3 linked regions of the Notamacropus eugenii genome follow. The protein of the gene in region 3 interacts with the protein of the main gene of each other region in a pairwise test. Links are inferred from orthologs where the notes say so. Each region holds a gene or a part of one and is shown on either strand. Other genes may lie near its edges.

Evidence for each region.
Region 1: the proteins of LMNA (region 3) and ZSCAN12 interact in binary tests that used the Homo sapiens proteins (3 or more experiments, as listed by UniProt). The link is inferred for Notamacropus eugenii from reciprocal best matches to the Homo sapiens genes LMNA and ZSCAN12.
Region 2: the proteins of LMNA (region 3) and TOR1AIP1 interact in a two-hybrid assay, tested with the Homo sapiens proteins (2 studies listed by BioGRID). The link is inferred for Notamacropus eugenii from reciprocal best matches to the Homo sapiens genes LMNA and TOR1AIP1.

Annotation. Positions count from the first base shown.
Region 1 is NC_092873.1:76,710,519-76,718,525, reverse strand, and holds the start of ZSCAN12 (zinc finger and SCAN domain-containing protein 12), read left to right. Parts: upstream 1-4,920; 5' UTR 4,921-5,671; coding exon 5,672-6,073; intron 6,074-8,007. UniProt on the Homo sapiens protein: May be involved in transcriptional regulation.
Region 2 is NC_092873.1:465,742,048-465,749,879, reverse strand, and holds the start of TOR1AIP1 (torsin-1A-interacting protein 1), read left to right. Parts: upstream 1-4,745; 5' UTR 4,746-5,130; coding exon 5,131-6,070; intron 6,071-7,832. UniProt on the Homo sapiens protein: Required for nuclear membrane integrity. Induces TOR1A and TOR1B ATPase activity and is required for their location on the nuclear membrane. Binds to A- and B-type lamins. Possible role in membrane attachment and assembly of the nuclear lamina.
Region 3 is NC_092873.1:380,196,502-380,204,233, forward strand, and holds the start of LMNA (lamin), read left to right. Parts: upstream 1-4,669; 5' UTR 4,670-4,932; coding exon 4,933-5,288; intron 5,289-7,732.

The DNA of each region.
Region 1 (8,007 bases), about 300 Mb from region 3:
TTAAATTATCTCTGTTCAATCTGTTTTCCAGATCAGTTTTGTTTTTGTTTTGTATGAGATATTTCACATTTTCTTCTATTTTCCAGTCTTTTGGCTTTACTTTATTATTTTTCTTAGGTAATATTTTGTACCTCTGACTGGGTCCACTACAGATTTATGTTAAATAACCTCAACTGGGCCTTCATTGCTACTAGGCAATCTTACTATATCCCTCTAATCAACTCACTATCCCTCTCTCACCATCCTCTTCCCAAACTTTTCATCCCTCCTCAAACCTCCTATACCTCCCTCTCCCTCCACTCCCTCAGGTGAGAACTTGTTTCATTTTGCAGAAAAAAAATTGAGGCCATTTGCCATAAACTCTCTTTTCTCCCCTCTTCCTCATCTATCATTCAAGTATGTTCTGACATTCTCTCTTCCTTCGGCCCCATTCCACATGATGACATGAATTTACTCCTTTTCAAGGCTAATCCTTCTGCTTGTTCAAGCAACCCCATTTCATCCCATCTTTTCCAATATATTGCTCCTTCTATAATCCCTACTCTTTCACTTATTTTCAATCTCTTCCTGTCTTTTGGCTCATTTTCCTATTGCCTACAAACATGCCTGTATCTCTCCTATCCTGAAAAATCCTTTACTTGATCCTTCCAACCCTGCTGGAAAAAGCCATCCACAAGAGGTGTCTCCACTTTTTTGCTTCCCACTTTCTTCTTAACCCCTTACAATCTAGCTTCTGAACCTATCATTCCACTGAAACTGCCCTCTCCAAAGTTACTAATTATCTCTTAGTTGCCACATCCAATAGACTTTTCTCTGTTCTCATTCTCCTGAACCTCTCTGTGGCTTTAGACACTGTTCATCACTCTGTCCTCCTTGATACTCCTTTTTATCTAGGCTTTTGGGATACCATTCTCTCTTGGTTTTCCTCCTACATAGCTGACCACTCCTGTTCCATGCCCTTTGCTGGATGTTCCTCCAGATCATGCCTTTTAATCTTAAGTATACCTCAGGGTTGTGTCCTGTGTCCTCTTCTCTCCTCACTCTATGCTCCTTCAGTGGTGACCTCATCAGCCCCCAAGGATTTAATTACTATCTCTATGTTGATGATTTTTCAAATTTACCTATCCTGTCCCAGTCTCTCTGTTGAACTCCAGTCTTTGTCCTTCAACTTCCTTTCAGACATCTCAAACTGGATGTCCAGCACACATCCTAAGCTCTGTATGTCCCAAATGGAACTCATTATCTTCCCTCCTTAGACCTTCCCCACTCCTACCTTTTCTATTACTACAGAGAAGACCCAGTCTCTCAGGGTCACAACCTGAAATCATCCTGAATTCTTCACTGTCTCTCACTTCCCATTTCCAACTTATTGCTAATATCTGTTGATTTTACCTTTGCAACATCTCTCATATATGCCCCTTTCTCTCCTCTGACACTGTCACCTTTCTAGGGCAGGCCATCATCAACTCACACCTGGACTAATTGTGACCCCTTATGGGGTTGAGACCCACAGTTTAAGAAGCAATGAAGGGGCTGTGAGTGGAAAAAGCCTAAGAAACCCTGGATTATCATAATTGTCCGCTGGTGGATCTGCTTGCCTCAAGTCTCCATTCAGCTGCCAAAGTAGTGCAGGTCTGACCATGTCACCCTTCTCCTCAGTAAATTCCAGTCATTACTGTCAGGATCAAATACAAAATTATCTGTTTGGCATTCAAAGCCCTTTATAACTTAACCCCCTCCTATCTTTCCTTTTCAAGTTTTCTTGCAGAATACTCCAGTGGCACTGGCCTTTTGATTGTTTGAGTATTTTTTACTCCACCTTTCAGCTCTAGGCATTCTGTCTGACTGTCCCTTATGCCTAGAATATTCTCACTCTTCTGCTCCAACTACTGACCTCCCTGGCTTCCTTTATGTACCAACTAAAATACCATCTTCTATAAGAAGTCTTCCCCAAGACCTCTTCATTCCAGTGCCTTTCCTCTATTAATTATTTCTTATTTATCCTGTATATAGCTTGAGATATATATATACATATATACATACATGCATATATATGTATGTATATATATATATACACACACATACACACACATACACACATATATACACATATATACATACATATGTATGTTTGCAGGTTGTTTCTCCTGCTAGATTGTAAGTTCCTTTAGGTCAAGGACTGTCTTTTGCTTCTTTTTGTATTCTCAGTGCTTAGCACAGTGCCTGGCACATACTGTAGCAGATTCTTAATAGCTGTTTATTGATTGATTGATGGTGTTTCTTCTCTAGGAACTAATTGGCACAGTTGAGTATGGGGCCTGGAATCAAAAAGACCTGAATTCAAATCTAGCTTCAGACAGTTACTAGTTATCTTGAAGTCACTCAACCTCTGTTTGCCTCAGTTTCCTCAGTTGTAAAATAGGGATAATAATAGCATCTACTTCCTTGCATTGTTGTGAGGACCAAATGAGATAAAATTTTTAATGTGCCTAGCATGTAGTAGGTTCTATAGAAATATGAGTTACTATTACAGCATTATTAAGTGTCAGGGTGAAGGCAGGTTTGGGTGAGTGAGCCAACCCAGGGGTGGCCATGCCTCATGGGCTCTACACTGTTGGGGCTCATCTAGGATCTATTGTGGGGTGCCAACTACCTTGATTACAATATGGTTCTTCTTTCCTCAGTTTATATAAGTGTTTGCTTCATGTTTTTCAAGGGCAAGCCAGAATAAAAGATAGAATATAACTGTAAACTTTTTAGGCCCCTTTACTAAATTCTTACTCAGATGTTTTGTCACAGTATGAAGATGATTCTGGGGGTTTTCAAAGGTTTGAATGATGAGATCCTGACTCCAGTAAGGAAGGCTTCAGGTCCATAGCAATGGACCATGTAATCAACTGTCATTTGAGGAGCATTCTACATTGAGACTTTTCACAAATTGTATGTTGGGGCGGGGGTGTGGTCCCTGGTTGGCCACATCAAAATCATTAAGACATCTGCTGAGATGCGAAAACGTCTATGCTCTTTGGTGCAATGGCCGTACTCCAAAGTGATGCATCCCTGAACTATCTAAGCTTCATTGGAAGTCTGTTCTTAACCAAACTTGATTTTTTTGTAGTGCCTCACACACTCTTGGTAATTAATAAAAGTTTTAAAAATTTAACTGAACTGTTCCTAAAGCCTCCCCTTTTACTTATCCTCTTCTTTTGAATAAATTATATGCTTCCAATTACATTCCAGGTAAGGGTCTCATCCTACTAAGTCTTAGTGCCATCTATGAAATTAAATTTGACTTTTCATTAGGATCTTGCTTATCATCTGTGCTACGTAGGTTAATTTTTTAAACAAATTGTAATATTAACTAAGTTACAAATGTCTAACAACCAAAAAGATGAGGCATTAAGAAAAACATCAAACTTTAAGGACTAAACTAAGCAAAGAGGACGCTATGAAGTATTTTCTAGTCAAGGTTTTATAACAAAAGTTATTAACTATTTACTTTTTCATTTTAAGAACTTTATGATAAAATGACTGCTCTTTGCCTGTTTAAAACATCTTATAACCCAAACTTATGTAACAAGGGAATGGCTAATGATCTATAGATCTTTTAAACAAGGACAAACATTCCACACTGTTGATGTAATCCCTATGTGGACCTTTGAGCCAGTGGAAACATTTTGCAACTGGTTCCAGTCCACTCACCAGGTAGTGATGAGGAGCTCCCTTCATTGTCTGGATAGCCAGAACTGAGGTGCATTCAAAAGGCACCAGTTGACCAGAACCTGTTTCTCTTTGGTCTATCTGCTTGATGGTCTTCTGGAGGGATAAGAGGTATAATTCTATAAGAGAGAGGCCCTCCCGCTCTAGGTTTGACATATGTGGACCAGGAGTATGGTGTTTACTCTTTAGTTTTAGGTGAAGGAGATTAGAGACCACATCTTTGTAAGTTTTGAAAGATCAAGAAAAAAAACTACCAGGAAGTCCAAGATCCATGCTGCAGTATGTCCACCTTTCAGCCCTGAAGAGCAAAGAGTTGGTCTTCCAAACCTAGCCTAGTGGTAACTGAGACAACAATTCATCCAGCAGTGATATAGCATTTGGATGTAAACTTGATAAGAATAATTCTACGGAGAAAATGCATTGAGTTTGAGCTTACTCTCCCCTAGAACCAAGTCAATATGGAGGACAGTATGCTCCAGAAGTGTATGTAGAGGAGCAAAATGTTTTTCTGTTCTTACTCTATGTTCTAAACAAATATCCCTTTAAAAAAAGTTGTTGATATCAGTTCATAATATCTATGGCAGCTAACAGTGAGGGCCTTGAGCCAATAACATTAGAGAAAAACCTCTTAACCCCTCCAGAACCCTGAAGAAATGTAGCCAGCTTCACTCTGAGACCAGAGTAATAGTTCACATTTTCACATTAAATATCTTACTCATGATGATCTCCAGTATCTTATACTACTATCAAATTTAATTAAGTTCTTTCCATATTTTGCTCCAATCAAAGAAATAAGGCCCAATTTAACAATCTGATAATGAAGACAGGTAGTGGACAGAGAATATATATTGGTCAAAATGATTGAGGAGCTAAAACAAATTTCAAAGCCTGCCAATTGACTTCGTTACTAGCTCCTTTCTTGGATTTTGTCTCTTTTGAACTTCTGGGTGCTGCTATTCCGTTTTTCTCCCCAAATCGTAGCTGTGATAGTGTCTTGCTTGGGGAAATAGCGTTGTTTTCTCCCTCCTCATTCCTTTCCTAAGAAGTGGTGCTGGTGAGTTTGACAATACTTTGTTGGATAACTTGCCTGGGATAAATTGAAGGATAGACATTTGCGTTTTTATTGTTGTTTGCTTTTGTTTGAGTACTGGGTTTGTTAGCTATTGTCACAAATTTATCATTGAAAATTCCATTTATTTATTTTAAAGAATCATAGGATCCCCTCCAATTCCTAGAGAGAACCCGGAAGTGTACGGGAGGGGCCTGGCTGGGGTGCTTTCTACTCTCCGGTTTCCCCCAAACCCGCGGAGACTCGCTGATACATTTCCGGTCTTTGTGGTTAACCTGGCGTGGGTGTGGGGGCATCTTACTGGTTCAGTGTCGCCCGCCCACCGCGCCTTTGAACGTCAGCAGGGCTGCACTTTCCCAAAGCGCCCTGGAGGGCGGGCGCACCAGCCTCCTCCCTCCCAGCTGGGTAGTGCACCGGTTTGCGGGTCCCTCTCAGCTGCCAAGCCAAGCCCTGCGCTGCGCCCGGAGATCTGGGGCACCCCCGGTCAGGGGGCTCCTCTGATCGCTCCTGAAAGGGATTGTGGAGGGATAATCCTGTACAAATACCCAATGAGGGAAGTTAAATGAATTAAGGGAATTCCCAATTAAGGGGACCCTCCCCTGATTCCCCCTCTCCCCCGCCTTGTAATTTCACTCCCATCCTTCTTTTCTCATTATTCTTTTTTTTTTAATTTTTATTCTTTAAAAAGAATTCCTTTCCTTTTAAAAATCTTTTATTCATAATTATTTCATATTTTTAGAATTTCCTTATCTTCAGTGAATTGATGTTCATTAGTTAATGTTTAAATTTCTTGGCAGTGTTTGTATCCGTACTCATAAGTGAATAAATAAGCAGAAACATTGTAACTACCTAGAGTGGCCTTCAGTGCTCTTCAGGCCTGGGATGGCAGCCTCCTGGAACACTGAGACTCCACAAGACTGCGAGAGAATTTTGAAAGTGAAAACTGAGGATGAGGGTTACAATTTCAGGCAAGATTCCACCCAGCCGAATAAGCATCTCAAAACCAGAGAGTGTTCCCGGCAGTGCTTCCGGCAGTTTTGCTACCAAGAGGCCTCTGGGCCTCGAGAGGCTCTGAGCAGACTCCGGGAGCTCTGTCACCAATGGCTAAGACCAGAGATAAACTCGAAGGAACAGATCTTGGAGCTTCTGGTACTGGACCAATTTCTAACCATCCTGCCTGAGGAGCTTCAGACCTGGGTGCGGGACCATCATCCACAGAGTGGAGAGGAGGCAGTGACTGTGCTGGAGGATTTGGAGAGAGAGCTGGATGAACCAGAGCAACAGGTGGGAAGAGGGAGATGTGTGGAATTGTTTGTTTGTTTTTGGTTTTTTGTGGGCCAACAAGGGTGCGTATCTGCAGTCCATTAAGTATCACCCACCAAAAGGTGTTCATACACTTTGGTGCATCCAAAATATATACTGCTTATAATTGTGCCAAACTGCTGACTTGAACTTCCCTGTCCATGGTTTTCTTTCTAAACTGGGTAGCACTATTTGCTGCCTCTGCTTTTTAGTTTAGAAGTAAATACAGTTATTATGGAGAAAAGATGTGAAACAGACAGGGATGGGGTTCTTGTTGTTTCAGTGTAGAAATTCAGCAGCCATGAAAGGCCAAGGTCCTGTTTGTGGACTGCCCCTGAAATTGTTAAATGAGGGTATTCAGAACAGTTACCACTGGAGAAATGAGACAGGGAAGCAGTAGTGAGAAGAGGGTGGCGTGGGAGAAGTTTCTTGCTTACCAGTACTTCTCCTAGGACCATGCTACACTATTCCTTTACTCTGTGCTCTGTCTCATATGATTAGTGGCAGTGACCCAGAAATGGTATTTCTTACATTATTACCAAGACAATAACCCATTAAGTCCTAGAGCTGGAAGGCATCTTAGAAATCAATCTCTTTTACAGGTATAGCTCTTGAGCTGCTGAGCTGGGTGTAGAAGCCAGGTCTCACAGCTTCTCATCTAGCGCCATCCCTGCGTCTCTTTTCTTGTTTTATTGCCTCTCCCAGGGTATTGATGGATGATAGCACATCTTTTTGATCTTTATCTCCACTTTCATTTCATTCATTAAATCATTCATTCATTGTTTAATGCCTGCTCTTTGCTTAGCACCATGGAAGATATAAGTATTGAACTGTGACTGTAAAGTCCTAGAGAGCAGTAATATTATCTTTTTTCTTTTATATCTCTAGTGCCCAGAACAATGCCTTTTATGGAAATGAATTGAGGATTTTACAATCTAATTTCAAAGATGAAACATAACATGTGAAAATTAACAGGCCAAGGTGACCATATGATCAGTGCCAATTAGTATAGACAATTTGTACTGAAGAAATTCAAAAGAACATGTTCAGTGAGTCTGGAGTAGTCAGGGCTAGAGAAAGAGGAACTTTCTTAAGGTCTTGAAGTTAGGTGTAGAGGGATCATTCTCTTGAGGAGTACAGTGTATTCAGAGAGTAGGAAATAGAATGATTTGTTTGGATTGTAAGTATAAAGGTAGGACATATGGGTAGATAGATGACCTCAGGCCAGATTGTGGAAGGCCTTGAACATGAACTTCATCTGCTGGGTCAGTGACTCCCAATAGCTAGTTTTGATGTTATCTCTTTAACCACTATGTTATACTGTCTCTCATCCCTAAAAGAAAAGAACTTTACCTAGTTTTTAAAAAAATGTAATATTCAGGATGCAGGTGATTAATTTGGGGCAAAAAGAGCCTCCCTGTGCCTCTCAAATCACATAGTATGGGGAACTCTCTACCTAGTGGCAGACTTTAGCTATATTCATGCTTGATATAGGGGAAATTGGAATCCATGTTGAAGGGGAATGACACTTGCCTAAAAGAAGTCAACCAATTTTATCTTTCCTTAGCAAGGGAATGGCTGAGAAGTTAAAGGTGGGAAGGAAGGGAATGCATCTTAAAGAGGTCCCAGCTTCCCCACCAGTTTCCCTAGTTTGGAGCTGGTCTTTCTTTTCCTTTCTTTCCCTAGCCATTGTGTGGACACTAAAGGTATCTGACAGCATTTCGTTTACCTGCAATAAGCATGGTATGCAGTAAGAACTTGTAAAAGTCTTCAGGTTTCTCATCCATTTCACTTCGACAAACATTTAGTGCTTATTGCATCTAAGGTGCTGCTCAAGGCACTGAGATGCAAAGAGGAGTAAGATGTTAGCCCTGTCTTTAAGCAGGTTATTGATCTAATTTCCCAAATAGTAACTG
Region 2 (7,832 bases), about 86 Mb from region 3:
ATTTAAAAAGAAGCACAAGGCTAAGACTAGCAGCGCAGTTCATCCTTCACTTAAAAGTTCAAACCTGCAACAAGAGATGTAAGAGATACCCTATTTAAAACAATCATGGAAAGAATAAAATACCTGAGATTACAGCTGCCAAGAGAAACCCAGAAACTATATGAACATGATTATAAAACATTTTTATGCAAATAAAGTTCAGATTTAAGTAACTGAAGAAATATTAATTGTTCAAGTGTGGTCAGAGCCAATATATGATCAATGCTGATTTATAGCATTTTTTCTTACGACTATAGTTCTAATTTCTTCCTCTGAAAACTACCTATTCATATCCTGTGACCATTTATCATTTGGAAAATGACTTGTATTCTTGTAAATTTGACTCAGTTCTCTATATATTTTAGAAATGAAGCCTTTATGAAAGATATTAATTGTAAAAATTCTTTCCCAATTTTCTGCTTCCCTCTTAACCTTGGTTGCATTGGCTTTGTTTGTGCAGAAACTTTTCAATTTAATGTAATCAAAATTATTCATTTTGCATTTCATAATGTTCTCTATCTCTTGTTTGGTCATAAATTCCTCCATTCACCATAAATCTAACAGATGAACTCTTCCTTGCTCCCCTAATTTGTTTATAGTATCAGCCTTTATACCTAAATCATGTACTCATTTGCACTTTATTTTGGTAGTGCTTTGTAAACTTTAAGGAGCTATGTAAATGTGATTGTAATTATTGTTTTAATTATTGGAGAGACCTAAGCATGTTTGTGATTCAGTCATCATCTGCCAAGTTGAAAATCTTCCCTTGCTATAGCATTCTCTATTCTCATTCCCATCAACCTCAACCATACACCTCTGCAATTCTGTTACTCTGTCTTCCCCTTTCCTTGTGCCCTCTGGAATCCTGCTCTGTTGTTGATAAATTCCTCTTCCTCTTAGATGGCTTCCTCTTAGTCTTTACAATTTCTTGGACTTAACAGAAACCTGGATCCCCATTCCTTCAGAAGATACTGCATCACCAGTCAGTCTCCACTGTTAAAAGTACTTAGTATCAGTCAACCAATAAGCATTTAAGTGTATATTTTGTGCCCCCCTCCACTGTGCTTGGCACTGGGTATGCAAAGAATGGGGGGGAAATCTCCCTTTCCCTCCAGGAACTTACAGTCTAATGGGGAGATAGTAACAAATAACTAACTACATACATAATCTATATAGAGCATATGGCATCAATGGGGGAAGCCATTCACATCTGGGAGTGGGGGCAGAGATGAGTCAGAGAAAAGCCTTCCACAGAAGGTGGGCTTTGAACTCAATCTTGAAGGAAGTCAAAAAAACTAAGAGGCAGAGATGATAGGAAAGAATATTCCAGGAGAGTGTAGAAGTCTTCTGAGCATGCAAAAATGAGAAAACTAGGGGAGGGACTTTTAGAGGAATGTACTGATTGAGATTGTGAGAGATGAAGAGACTCTTGGAGGGGTGGATGAAGTAGGAGAGGGACTTGAGAGGGAGAGAAGATAAGGTGACAGGGATAGGGTAAAAAGAGAGGCTAAGAAACAAAACTGAGTAAAAATAAGATGGAGAGAAATTCATAAACTAATTATAACTTTGAATGTGAATGGAATGTTTATAGAAGTTCTCTTTGCAGTGTCAAAGACTGGAAATTGAGGGGATGTCCATCTATTGGAGAATGGCTGGACAAATTGTGATATATGGTTGCAGTGGAATACTATAAGAAATGATGAGCTCAATGATCTTAGAAAGCATGGAAATACCTGTATGAAACGATGAAAAGTGAAATAAGCAGAACCAAGAGAACATTGTGGACAGTAACGGCAATATTGTTTTAAGAATGACTTCAAAAGACTAAGTCCCTTTCACTGTTATAAATCCAAAAATTAAAAAATAAAGGACATATGAAGACACTATCTACATCCAAAGAAAGAACAGATAGATATATAATCTACATATTATACACACACACACACACACACTCACACCCCTGTTTGTGTCTTAATAGTATCCATCTCTAAGATAGGGGAATGAGTGCCAGGCATGGTAACAAGAGATGGAACATCACGACCACAGAACTGCAAGGTCACTGTATCTAGATCACATTGTGTGTAGAATCAAGTAAAGTGTAAGATTTCAAAGGGGAAGAGGACAAATCACGAAGAGCTTTAAAAGTCAAACCAAAGTCTTTAATTTGATCTTGGAATAGGGAGCCACAGAACTCAATGTCAGTTAGGTCTTTAATTTAGAAAAAAACTACTCCAGTAGTGGAGTGGAGATAGGACAGAGTATGAACTGGAGTACTGGCTGTATGAGTAGAGAGAATGGGATGTATGAGAGATGTCACAGAGCTAGAAATGACAAGATTTGACAACAGACTGAATATGAGGGACAAGAGTGAGGAATAGCAAATGGCCAGGACAACAAGGTTTTGAATTTGAATGACTGGGGACAGGGTAGTGCCCCTCCACAGTAAAAAGGGAAGTTCAGAATGAAATTTAGTTCAGTGCTTTAAAAGATGAAATTTTTCTTCATGACATTCTAGGCACTTTACTAAGAAATATTTTAAAATTGTAATCAAACCACTCCTGGATTGACTGGTCACAAAAGCCACTGGGATCTGTAGTTCTCCCCAGTTTAAGAAGAAACTGGGGTTGCAGTCTTTCCCAATGGAGAATTACAAATTCTAGCCAAACCCTTATTAGGGGTTGTTATAGTAATTTTCAGAGATTGGTAACTGAAATGACAAAAGTTTATGCTGGTCTTAAGCTAATCTGACAGGAAGGAATCCCTTCTACAAACCTAAGAGATAAATTCTCCGGTAGGGTACACAAATTACATTGGCCCTGGAATCAGAGGCTTAGTGGCTCAAATCTCACCCCTGATTACCTGTAAACCTTCAAGTCACTTGATCTCTCTGGATCTGTTTCCCTATCTGTAAAATAAGGGGTTGGACTAGATGGCCTCTGAAGTCCTTTCCAGCTCTAAATGTATCTTCCCAATAGGGATGACATTCCTGAAGACAAACAACTTCTCTGTTGGACAGCTCTGACATTAAAACTTTTCTCTAGGTTAAGGTTTAAGGGGTTGCTGGGTGAAACACACATGTTGTTAGGCATCTGCAGCTTCTGCTGTCACCTCACAAACAGAGGAGGGGCCAGGATATAAGTAGTCCTCCCAGGTAGACCAAGGCCACAAACAAGCAAACTTCTGTCTAAAATTGTCTATGCTCTTTCTTTTTTAAAAGATTTCTTTGGGGAAACCACTCGAGCTATTTTTGGCAACGCATCAGTAAGTATAATAGTAGATGAACCCCTTCCTTTCTAGACCACACACACAAGAAATTAAAGAAATACCTTCCACAACAAAAAGAGCCCAAAGGTAAGTTTTTGATGTGTCTTATTATTTTTGCTTATATTAATCTACTGTTAAAAAATGAGGCCCTTGAGGGATCCTTTGACAATGTCTATTCAGTATATATAGCATTTGATTTATTGTAGACAGTATAATTTAATAATTTTACAGTTGACTATGTTAATAATATACTCTTTTTAGAAGTTTTCTAAAATACTAAATGCTAGTTACTTTATACTTTTAAATAACTTTAAAAGCAGTAAAAAACTTGTGGTCTCATGTACGTATCCCTTAGGCTCAAATAGACCACTTTCATTTTCCCTTCCCTGAATGCAATAAAAAGCAACAAAGAGCTATTTTTCTTAGTGTTCTTCCTTTTTTTATCTTTCACGTTCTGATTTTACTGGAGACCAGTGTTCATATCATATATGTAAAAAATGAGTTACTGATTTCTAAAAGCACTATTATGTCCCTGTATTATGTTACCTGATACAAAAAGTATCCTTAGCCAATGCTATAACAAGGGTCTATATTTTATTTATAATTAAAAACCACAGAAAGGCAAGACTGTATGTACTAATTCTTTATTTATGATCATTTGGACAAAGTTGAGATAATGAAGTTTTTTTTACCGAGAGTAGTTTAAACGAGATCCTAATAACTTTAAATTCCTTAAACTAATTTCAAAGCATACTCAAGTTGTCACCTATATAAAAACTGATACCCTAAACATCAATCCTTTTTTATTTATTCACTAAATCATATTCCCTGGACTCAAAGAGATATGATTATTAGACTAAAGCTAGTTACTGTATCCTTAAAATAGAATTTTTTTTTTAAAGACAAAAGGCTTTTCACCAATTATGACTACCGCACTCCAGTACTTCAGATTGGTTGTTAAATACGAGTATCCTCTAATGTGGATTGTTTACTACTATCTTGTTTCTACCTAGTTTTTAACATTTTGTATTCTAGTCTCTGGCACAGATCGGGTACTTAACAAGTGCTGGATTGAGAGTAAACTAAACTTGGGGATTGTACGATGAAATCTACAACAAATTTATGCCGCAGATTTAAAAAAAAAATACATGTAATTTACCAAGTCGCTAATGAAGTGGAAAACACTCGTCAATTTCAGTTGGAGGAATGTCAGTTTCTAAAAGGCTCATCTATGGAAGAGCTCCAAGGAATGTAAACAATTTCTTAATTTTAAGGTGAGGAACGGAGGCGCCGGCAGGACTACATGAAAGCAGCGGAACAAGCAGCCTTCCATCAGCTGCACCAAGCACCCCGATTTGCAAACGTTTCCTGCCCGTAATCCGCTGGTAAATTCTGTAAGCGTCAGAATCATTTTAGCATACGGTTGACGGACAAACTTTCTTTTCATTTCTTTCGTTACTCAAATGTTGCTTTTGGAAAACGACTAGGTCGTTCTTCGGGCAGAGATTTTCCCATCAAAACCGAGTGGCTTTTGCTTTCACTAAGTGACTAACATTTCACCGTGACTTCACAAGTTTTTTATTTTACTTTTTCAATTAACAAGGCTTTTTTTTTCTCCCGCTCCCACTCCTGATGTACGAGTGAGAGAGGGAGGGAAGGGGGGATCATTTCAGAGAGCGAAGACAAAAATGAGTCCCCGCAACATCTACCCCGGGAACTGTCAAGGTCTCCGACCGACCCTTGAACCTTTCACCAGAGTCAGGAAAGGGGTGACGGAGCCGGCTCGGGCGGACGGGGTCACGGTCGGCGCGGGCGCTTGGGCTACAGATGCGACAAAATGGTGGAGGAAGCGCGGGCCGCGCTGTCTCGGGCTCCCCGGATCACGGCCTCCCGGCGGGGAGGGCCCCGGGCGGGCGGCCGGGCCCACCCCGTGACGCTCGCCAGAGAGCCCGGGATGGCCGGCTCCTCGAGCCTCCCTCCCCGCCCCCCGGCGCAGGAGGGCCAGGCTCTCCCTTCTCCTCCTCTGGCGGGCCTGCAGCCAGGAGGGCGGGGGTGACACACACACACACCCAGCGGCAGCTGACCGAGCCGGGCACTGCCTGCCTCACAACCTTCGGGAGCTACCATGGGCCCAGAGGAGCCCGCACACCGCGGCGGCAACAGCAACAAGAGCGGCGGCGGCCGCGGCCCCGACGACTCCCAGCTGCCTCCCTGACGGGCGCCAAGCCCCCGCCGCCGCTCCGGAGAGGGACCCGGCCGGCCATCCTAGGCCCGCGAACCATGGCAGGCGAGGGATGGGCAGCGCACGTCACACCCAGGGCCCCGCTACGACAAGGGAGGCGCCCGCTCGGCCCTCAAGATGGCGGCGGAAGAGACGCGCTCGCGGACGGAAGCCCCATGGCTCGGCGCAGGGGCCGACGGGAAGTGAGGTTCTCCGAGCTCCCGCCCCAAGTGTACGGCGACTTCGAGCCGCTCGCGTCCGGGGGAAGTGCCCGGGTGGAAAAGCGGACCCAGGCACAAGAGTTCCGCCCCGTGCCCGGGAAAGAGGAAGTGGAGGAGAGAAGAGCCTACTATTACCTTAGACCTCGGCCGCCTTCTCTGCTCTCGGGCTTGGGACTCGGAGAGATGAATACGAGGAGAACGACCCGGCTCCAGCAGCAGGAGGCTCCGCCGCCGCCGCAGCCCTCGCCGGCCACCACGAGGAGAGGGCTGCGAGACCTGCAGCCCTCGGAAGGTGAGGGCGGCGGAGGCGGTGGCCGCCGCCGAGGTAACGGGCTGGGGAGGCGCGCGCGCCCCGGAGAGCGCGAGGTTTCCCGCCTCGGGCGGCCACGGCTCCGCGCCCCGCGGGGGGTCCTCTCCTCGCGCCCCCTCGCGAGGGACGGGCTCGTGGCTGGGACACCCTAAGGTGCGGGAGGAAATGGATCGGGAGCTGGCGGGACGGGCGGAGAACGCGGGCGGTCCCGGAGCCCCCCGCCCTCCACCGAGGAAGAAGGAAAGGGGGCAGCCCCCCAATAGCGGGAGGCAGGGCACTGTGTTGGGCATTCCCGGGGCTTTATCCGGGGCAGCAGCGTGCGCACGAGCGCGGGGTCCGGCCCCGATCATCCTCGGAGCGCAGGGTCCGGCGTTCGGGGTCAGCCCAGACTCCTGTAGGAGGTGGGGTCTTAGCCGGGACCTGGAGGGCAGAGGGCTCCTGCCGGAGCAGCCGAGGAAAAGGCGCAGGGAACCGGAGCGAATTCCTCTAGGAGAGCTTCCCGGCCCTGGGGAGGGGGCCGCCGGGGAGGAAGGGGGGGCCCGTGGCTGAGAAGGAAGAGGAGAAAGGAGAACCCACCGTAGTTAGGGAGCAGCCTGGCCCCAGGGGAGCTCGGGCCGGGAAGCCTCCGTTGAGTGAGAGGCGCCGTGCTCAGCGTGGGTATGGGGGACCCGGGGTGCACGTGTGTGTGTGTGTGTCTGTGTGTGTGTGTCTGTGTGTGTGTGTGTGTGTGTGTGTGTCTGTGTGTCTGTCTGTGTGTCTGTGTGTGTGTGTGTGTGTCTGTGTGTGTGTGTCTGTCTGTGTGTGTGTGTCTGTGTGTGTGTGTGTCTGTGTGTGTGTCTGTGTGTGTGTGTGTCTGTGTGTCTGTGTGTCTGTCTGTGTGTCTGTGTGTCTGTGTGTGTGTGTCTGTCTGTGTGTGTGTGTCTGTGTGTGTGTGTGTCTGTGTGTGTGACTGTGTGTGTGTCTGTGTGTGTGTCTGTGTGTGTGTGTGTGTGTGTGTGTGTCTGTGTGTATCTGTGTGTGTGTGTGTGTCTGTGTGTGTGTGTGTCTGTGTGTGTGTGTGTGTGTGTGTAGGGGAGGGGGCAGACACATAGGCACAAAGTCATGCAAAGGATGTGAGTCACTCTTGGGGTTTGAATTACCAGGTGATAGACGGGGTGACACGCACTGATGGTGTAAGAACAGCCCCTGCCATCGGGAAACAGCGTGCAAAATAAGAACATAGCACTGACACACATCAGTGTGCAGGGCCAGTTGGGAGTGAGCTCCGAGAGAAGTCACTGCGCATCGAGGGGAGGGGGCAGCGGAGGAGACTTGCACAAGATAGGGTTTGAACTTGAGTCTTGAAGGGAGCCAAGAAGCAGAGGGAGAAAAAACATCCCAGGAAGATGGAACAGCCAGGCACAGAGAGGAGGGAGGAGGGAGCCACCGAAGTTTACTGAGTAGGGGAATGACCAGTGCTTTGTGAAGATCGTTTTGGCAAACTGTTTAACCTCTGGGTCAGTCCGTTATTAAACATTTGTTAAGCACCTACAAAGTGTCCAGCAAAAAGAGGCAAAGAACAGCCCCTGCCCTCAAGGAGTTCACGGTCTAATGGAATCTCTGGGCCTCCATTTCAGATTCCTCCTAAGTAAAATGAAGACAAGCATGGGCCTTGTCTGCATCATGAGAGACAAAGGGAGGTAGTGGTTATCTATCCGGCTGACCTTGAAGCCTGGAAATTCAGATCCAGTTCCTTTCTCTGACAAAACTGACTTTGTCACCCTGGAAGTCATTAGCC
Region 3 (7,732 bases):
ATTTGGGTTCAAGGTTTTTGTGGCTTTGGGAGAGAGGGTCTCATGGGATCAGAGTCTGGCATTAGACTCTCTTTGCAATCTGAATAGAGGATGTAGCGGGAACTTGCCCAGGCTTACCAGTCCCTTGTCAACTTTCTTTGGCACAGAGATGGGACTCAGAACCATCAGCCCTCCTCTATGGGACCCTATAAAAGTAATGGCAATATTCTGGAATGGGCTGCCTAGTGAAATAGCAAACTCCCTGTTATTAGAGGTCAACAAGCAGAAGCTGGGTGACCATTGGTAAGGCTTATGGCAGAGCAATTCCTGTTCAGATAAGTAGGTAGATTAAGTAGCTTCTGTAGTCTTTTCCATCTTTGAGATTCTGATTGTCAGTCAATAAACATTTATTAAACTCTTTCCATGTTTCAGGCACAGTGCTATACTGTGGGGATACAAAGGAAGGCCAAAGACAGTCCTTGCCCTCAAGGACCTCACAGTCTAACAGAGAGAATTGTTATTTAGTCATTTTTCAGTCATGTCTGACTCCTCACGATCCCTTTTGGGGTTTTCTTGGCAAAGATACTGGAGTGGTTTGCCATTTTCTTCTCCAGCTCATTTGACAGATGAAGAAACTGAAGCTAAGTGGGAGAGGATAGGCAAATAATTATGGGCAAACAAGCTATATAGAGGATAAATTAGAAGCCATCAACTAAGGTAGGCACTAGAATTAAGAGGGATTGGAAAAGTCTGCTGGAAAAAGGTGAGATTTTAGTTAAGATCTCAGGGAAGCCAAGAGGTGGAGAAGATTGCAGCTGTTTGCTTGGTTTTTGTTTGTTTACAAATGCTTTCTTGAGGCTTTTGTTGCTATAACTCCACAGAATTACCCCTTGGGGTAGACAGGGGAGGGCTGGCTCTCCTAGCTCAGGCCTTGGCATTTGAATCTTTTCCCACCCTTCTCCTACCCTCAAGGAACTTGTCCCCCCTTATAGCTATCATCTGACTGTGTTTGACTCTCCAATCTTACTTACAGATTGGACCTTGTCAAAACCCAGCACACAAAACCAGAACTCCTTTTCTACACTTTCCCTAAAGTGGGTAACTATTTCCTCCCTCCCCCAGTGGCACAGTCTGTCCCTCCCTCATTCTGAAGTTTGAAGGTACAAGAGTCTTCCAGACTCCTCTCTTCACGCCTCATATGCAGTCAGTCCTTCCCCCTGCTGAAGGTTAGTTCTTCCTTCATGATTTTCTCTTGGCTCCCAGCCTCCTCATTTTTTCAGTCAATAGCCCTGTAGCAGCTCTTTTCATCCCACACCTTGATTACTGCAATTGACTCCTAGTTGGCTTTCTCACCTTCATCCAACACCCTTCCCACCCAAGATGCCACAGTAACCTTCCTCACACAGTTTTCATTTCATTCCACCCTCACTCAGGAATCCACAGTGGAGCCCTGTAGCCAACCCATTGGCTCATCCTTCCAGGCCCTTGTACCAATTAGTTACCCATCCCTCCCCTCTCCAGTTTTACCTTACTCCCCAAATGAGTCCCTTCACTTCAACCAGACCAGGCTTCTGACTGGTCCCAGCACAACAAATAAGTTCTTATTCCACTTTTTTGAGCCTTTGCACAAACCATTCCCTTCCCTTCTTTCCCCTCCCACTTCCACCAATCCACTTCCAGAGTCTCTTTTTCATCTAACCAATTGTTGCTGAGCACCTCCTTCAAGCTTGGGCTCTGAGTCCACCTCCACCGAGAAGCCTGCCTAGACTAACCCCACCCCACCCTAACTATTCTGTCCTTCCTGCTCTGTTTTGGGTTCGTAAATTGCTTGGTAACTGATCTTTAAACTTGTTCCATGTGTGTACAGCCTAGCAGCCTGAGAATGGGCACAGACTTCTGCTTTCTTAGCTCCAGACACAGTAAAGAGGCAATGAATACTTATTGAGTTGAGGAATCTTTCCATGTCACAAGAAAATTAAGGTTCCAGGAAGCTTAGTGACCAATACAGGGTCATGAAGAAAGAGGCAGAGTAGGGGCATGAACACCAATTTTCTTGATGTGGACTTATCTTAAAGCACTCTCCAACCAGACCCCAAATTCTCCAACTTGGCAGCCTTGTTGCTAGTTATTCGCTGCATGGCACCTTTCTTGGTGGCTCCAGAACTTCAATAAGAATCATAAGATTCTAGAATTCATTTTACATATGGGAAAACTGAGGCTCAGAATGATATAGTCACTTGCCCAAGGCAAACTAGAACTGGAATAGAACCTAGGTCTTTTGACTGTTAGTACCATGCTTTTTTTCTATTACATCAAGCCAAATTTCCCTTGCCACCACAAATTCATTCTACTTTTTGGTCTGTTTTTGGCTACTTACTAACTTCTGAATCCATTCACTATACTGATTTCCAAGGACCCAATCTGTGGCACCATCCTCAGGACTATTTGCTCCTGGGGAAGGGTAGAAAGAGAGAAGTGGCAAATGAGATCCTCTGGTTTCTGTAAGTGCTTTGAGTTTGGGGCTTCTGATCTAGTATCTAGCATAAGGCTTTGAGGTTGAGATTTAGAAGATTTATAGGATCATAAGGGTCATTCCTTGGAAAAGGGGAGTCAAAAACTCTACTCTGGGCCCAGATAAAGGCTTGGGATGCTCAATTCTTTCTATTGCTGCCTCCTGCCCCTTTGTTCTTTCTACAAAGGGGGAGACTCCAGATTGGGAAGAGTTAAATGTGGTTTTTCTTCCCCAGCCCAAAAGGGAAGCCAGGCTGTTTGGGTGGGGCATTGGGGCCCTGGGGGGGGGGAGCAAGATGCCAAAGGGGAGGGTGGCTGAGGCAGCTGGGAACAGCATGAACCCCATCCTTCACGTTTCCCTGGCTCTCTTCCTCTCCCCCCTACAACCCTGCTCCTGGTTTGGGGAACAGAAGAGGGAGAACAGAGCTTTTGTTTTGTCGGGGAAGCTGATGGTGGTAGTAAAGTGCCACACCCTAGGAGGGGAGAGAATTGCTAGGGTGGGGAGCCAGGTTTATGGTTCCTTTAGTCTTAGGGATTGGGAGAGCCCATGGGATCCAAACGATGGAAGTCAAACGTTATGCTTCCCTGTCAGGAAACCACCCTCTCCACCTTGCTCTGTCTCACTAGTATTGGGACCCATGTGACCCAAGCCCCAGTTTCTTCCCATTCTTCTTGATGTCAACTTGTTCAGTCCAAAGTCCTATTTGTTCCTCAGATGCTACCTGGGTCCAGAACCCAAGCTTGAGAACCTAGGCACCTTCTTTCAACAGTTAGAGAATGTGAAACTGGAAAAGAGCAATGTAGCTCAATTTTCATGGCTCTTCTGGAGGAAAGGGGATTTGGAGAGGACATTAGAATAGGTGTACAGTCTGGCCCTTGATACCTGGCCCTGGAGGCTGTGGAGGATAAGGGTGGATAAAGGTAGGGAAACTACTCAGGGTGTATGGGTAATGGAATGGAACTAGATACCTGGATTTTGAGTAAGAGCAGAAGTCTGCCATAGCTGAGCCAGACAAGATTAGAAACTTCCAAGCCTAGCTTTTGTGAGAGCCCGAGGGAGTCTGCTCCAGAGCCACCTATTTAGGACTTATCAAGTGGGGGAACCTGAGTTTCACTTTTAGTTTCTGGAAAATCAGGGTCAGGACTGGGATTCCACAGTCCAGGCTTCCATTCCCTCTGCATCCCCCAGCTCCAATCCACTGCCCCCTCTCTGATGAGAATGGGGATAGGGATTCAGGCATCTGGACTCTTAGCCCAATGCTTGACTCCCCTCCTCCTGGCCCCTCCAAGAACCACAGGAATCTGGGACCCTGGTGTCCTGGCAACATGACGCACAGGCTCTGGGCGTCTGTTTTGAATTACTAGTTAAAAATAAGTCCTACAGTTAAAAACGGAGAGGGGCTGAAGGGGGGGAAGGGACCTCGGAATGTTCTTCCTCCCATCTTCTGGGCCCGATATCTGACAGTCTTGGTTCTTGTTTATGAACCTTGGGGAGATAGAAAGGATGGGATGCAGGTCCCTTGAGTCTTGTTCTCCAACCTGGGTTTGGGTTGGAGAGGCATGGGGTGGGGGTGGGAGGGAAGGATAAAGGTCAGAAAAATTCAGAACCTTAAGGTGGGTAGATGATTTGGATGTCTCAGGTATCCAGAGCTTGAGCCCCTCAACTGAATGCAGGCATCCCTTCCCCCACACTTGGTTTGCTCAAATCTTAGTTGCAGAATGGGCTGCCCAGATGTGGGCAGGAGGGGGTAAGGGGAGGGTGACTCATTGGTTACTATGGAAGGGAACCCATGGGGAGAAGTGGAGTGAGTCACTTTTTGGGTACCAGCCTACCCCGCCCCCACCTGCATGGGACCCCTTAACTATGTTTTCCCCCAACTTTACTACTTGGCCCCTATTTCTCCTTCCAGATACTCCTGATCCACCCTTTGCCCACTCCCACATTTTCACTCTTCTGTTCTTAGTCTTTTGGAAAGGGGTAAAGCCCTGGGCAGGCAGACAAGTTCCAGACCATAGAGACATCCATCAAAGTTACAATGTACACAAGAGCGCATGGGGGACAACACCATGAAGGGCCTGGACACCCCCCCTCCATTTCAACCTAAGGTCCTACTGCCTAAGAATTCGGTGCGCATGCTGCTGTTCCTTTAAGAATGTGGCCCCTCCCCTCTTCCCAGGCTTATTTGAGCCTTAGCTCCACAGCCCGGTGACTCAGACTCAGAGTGTCCAAGAGCGCCGCGTCTACACTGGGCGGCCTACTTACCCAAGAAGGGCTAAGATCAGAACTCCGGGAGGTCGCCCATCCGAGCTCCGAACCCTAGCGGGCACCTGTCTCCGAGAGGAGGCTCAGCTGCCCGACTTCTGCAAACCTTCCCTTCCCCGTCTTCAGGTCCTTAATCTTCAGGGACCCCCTGCCCCCAGGGCGCTGCCACCCTGCCTGCCATGGATACCCCGTCGCAGCGGCGTGCCACCCGGAGCGGGGCACCAGCGGGCTCCACCCCGCTGTCCCCGACTCGGATCACGCGGCTGCAGGAAAAGGAGGACTTGCAGGAGCTGAACGACCGGCTGGCTATCTACATCGATCGGGTCCGTTCGCTAGAGACGGAGAACGCGGGCCTTCGCCTCCGGATCACCGAGTCTGAGGAGGTGGTGAGCCGGGAGGTGTCCGGCATCAAGGCCGCCTACGAGGCCGAGCTCGGAGACGCCCGCAAGACCTTGGACTCCGTAGCCAAGGAGCGCGCCCGTCTGCAGCTGGAGCTGAGCAAAGTGCGGGAGGAGTTTAAAGAGCTCAAAGCTCGGTGAGTGGGCCCCGGTGTCAAGGAGCTCCGTTCGGCCCAGGGAAAGGGGATTCATTGGGAGGGTGGGGTGGCAGTGGTGGTGTCTGTAGCTCCCCAGAGCGAGGAAGCGGCAGGTGGCATAGCCTGGGGGTGGGGAGAGAGAAAATATCCATCCTTCCTTCTGGGAGGTCTTCTCAGGTAAGAGGGGTGGAAGGAACCCTAGGAAGGAACAATTTTGCCTGTTCCAGAGTTCCTAACCTCCTAGGTGGTTAGGCTGAGTCAAATGGCAGTTACATGTCAGGTCAGAAGAGCCTCTGAGTAGAGGAACTAGGAGAATTGGGTGCATTTGGAGGTGAGGTGGAAAGCAAGTCGGAGAATGCTACCAATAGACTCATATGTCACAGTGCCTGGGTCCCTGCCTGAGGAGCACTGGCTGAGTCCAGTTGGGACTTTGCCAGGCTCCTGAAGCCCCAAGGAGAAGATTGGGCAATGACCAACTGGAGCTAGCATTGCCCAGGCAGGAAGTCCTAGAGGTGTTGGGGTGGTTGAAAGGGTCCTGTCAAGTATTACCCTTGCATGAATTGGCACCACGCCTACCTTGCCCAGGCTGTCTCCATGCACGTGGTATACTAGTCAAGCATAGGCTTCCAAGCCTGGCACCATACCTAGCAATGCTTTTGTCGGGGTGGTAGGGAAGTTTGGAAGACTGCTGATTCCCCTTTCCCTAGTACATGGGGGCATGGAAACCTCCAGCCAATGGTGAGCACGGGCATTCTTGCCCTTCTTGGAAGGACTCTGCAAGGTCCCGTACCCCTCCCGCTCCCCCATTGCCTGGGTCTTTATTTATTTTTTTACAGTGACTAAGCAACAAAAAAAGTTCTAGCTCCCAGAATTTCCATATTCCTTGGCCTCTCTAGGATGGGAATAAAGAGAAAGGGGCTTGTGGCTAGAGATTCCAGTCTGGATTATGGTGCTCTGTGTCCTATCTTGGAGGAAAATCGGGAGGGTATTTACCCTGCAAACCTAGCACCCCCTGATCTTAGTGAGCGTTCAATCTTGAGTTGGCTCGAGTCCATCTTTCTTGCCTTCCTGGAGACCCCAGTCATTCTTTATGCCTGGGCTGGTCACTTTCATTTTCTGTGGTCAGGTTTGTGCAACTATGTCATCTGGTTCATCCCTTTCCTCTGACGTTTGTTCTTTGCTCATTAAAATGCTTGGAGATTATGACTTTTTTGAAAATCAACCGTTGTTAATCGGCAGCCTCCCCTGGGGCCCCTCCTACTCTCCTCCACCCCACCCCACTTAAAAAAAATGACTTTGGGGAGGATTGGTCTTCTTACCACAAGTCCTAAGGCATTTTTTATTTTAATGCTTGTATCTGCCTTTTCCTTAGTGAGACCAGTAAATATGTTTAGAGATTCCTCAGTAACTCTGGATTTGGGATCTTGCACTTTCTTAGCCATTTTCTCTAAAGTCTGTTTTTTTTCAAAAATCTGTTCCTCTCGAAATAATTTCCAGAGTATTTCTTGTGCCTTCCCACCTCCCACCTCCCCCTTTTTCTGTTAGATTTCATCGTACCCTTTCCCCTCCTTCAATCTTATTCCGCAACTGGCCCAGGAAGAACCCAAGTTAGTAGAGTGTGGAAAAAAAACACTAATTCTCCTCATGGCCTTGCTTAAATAATTTAACCCATTTTTTCCCCATGTGATCTGTTCAAGGCGAATGAGTCAAGAAGAAATATGTAAGAACTAGTTAATAGTCTTAAATGAGTTCCTTCTGGAAGGGAAGATTTTGGCTGCTATTCTTTTTGGAAAGAACAATGGGGTTAATAGAACTGTGTCCAAGGGTTGCTCGTTATTTTCTTGATTTTGAAACGTTGTTTGACTCTCCCTACTTTGCAGCTGTCCCATTGTGGCTTCTGGGACCAGTGTGGGGGGGTGGGAGGTGGGGGTAGAGACAGGGGTGTATCCTATGTATGTGTTATATTTAGCCAGCTGCCTCTATTCTCCCCCACAGATCCTGACTTGGGGTGGGGCTGGGCTTCCGGAGAAGGCTGGGTGCCCTGGGGCAGTGGGGATGAGGGTAAATTTCAAAGGAAAGTTGAAGGCTCTGAGTTGGGGTGACTGGGATAAAGGGTGCTTTCAGACCTTTTTTGTCCCCTTCTGCACACCCCAGGATAATAGAGAATTAAGGACAGCCCTCTTCTCATCCTCTCTGTTTGAAGGTAGCCACAGGAGGAGCCAGTCTTTCCCAACGCTTGCCCTCAGCGATACCTTCCCTTTAGTAGATTCTGGACCCCGAAGTCTAAGAACTCTTCATATTGCTAAGTGTGCAAAGCCAAGGCCCCCACTTAAAATATCTGTGACCCTCAGACCCTTCCTTTTTTTCCACTGAGTCAAATAGGATTCACCCTCTGAGTCTATGGAAAGTAGAATCAAAGTTAGAGGAGCTCCGGGTCTTAGATA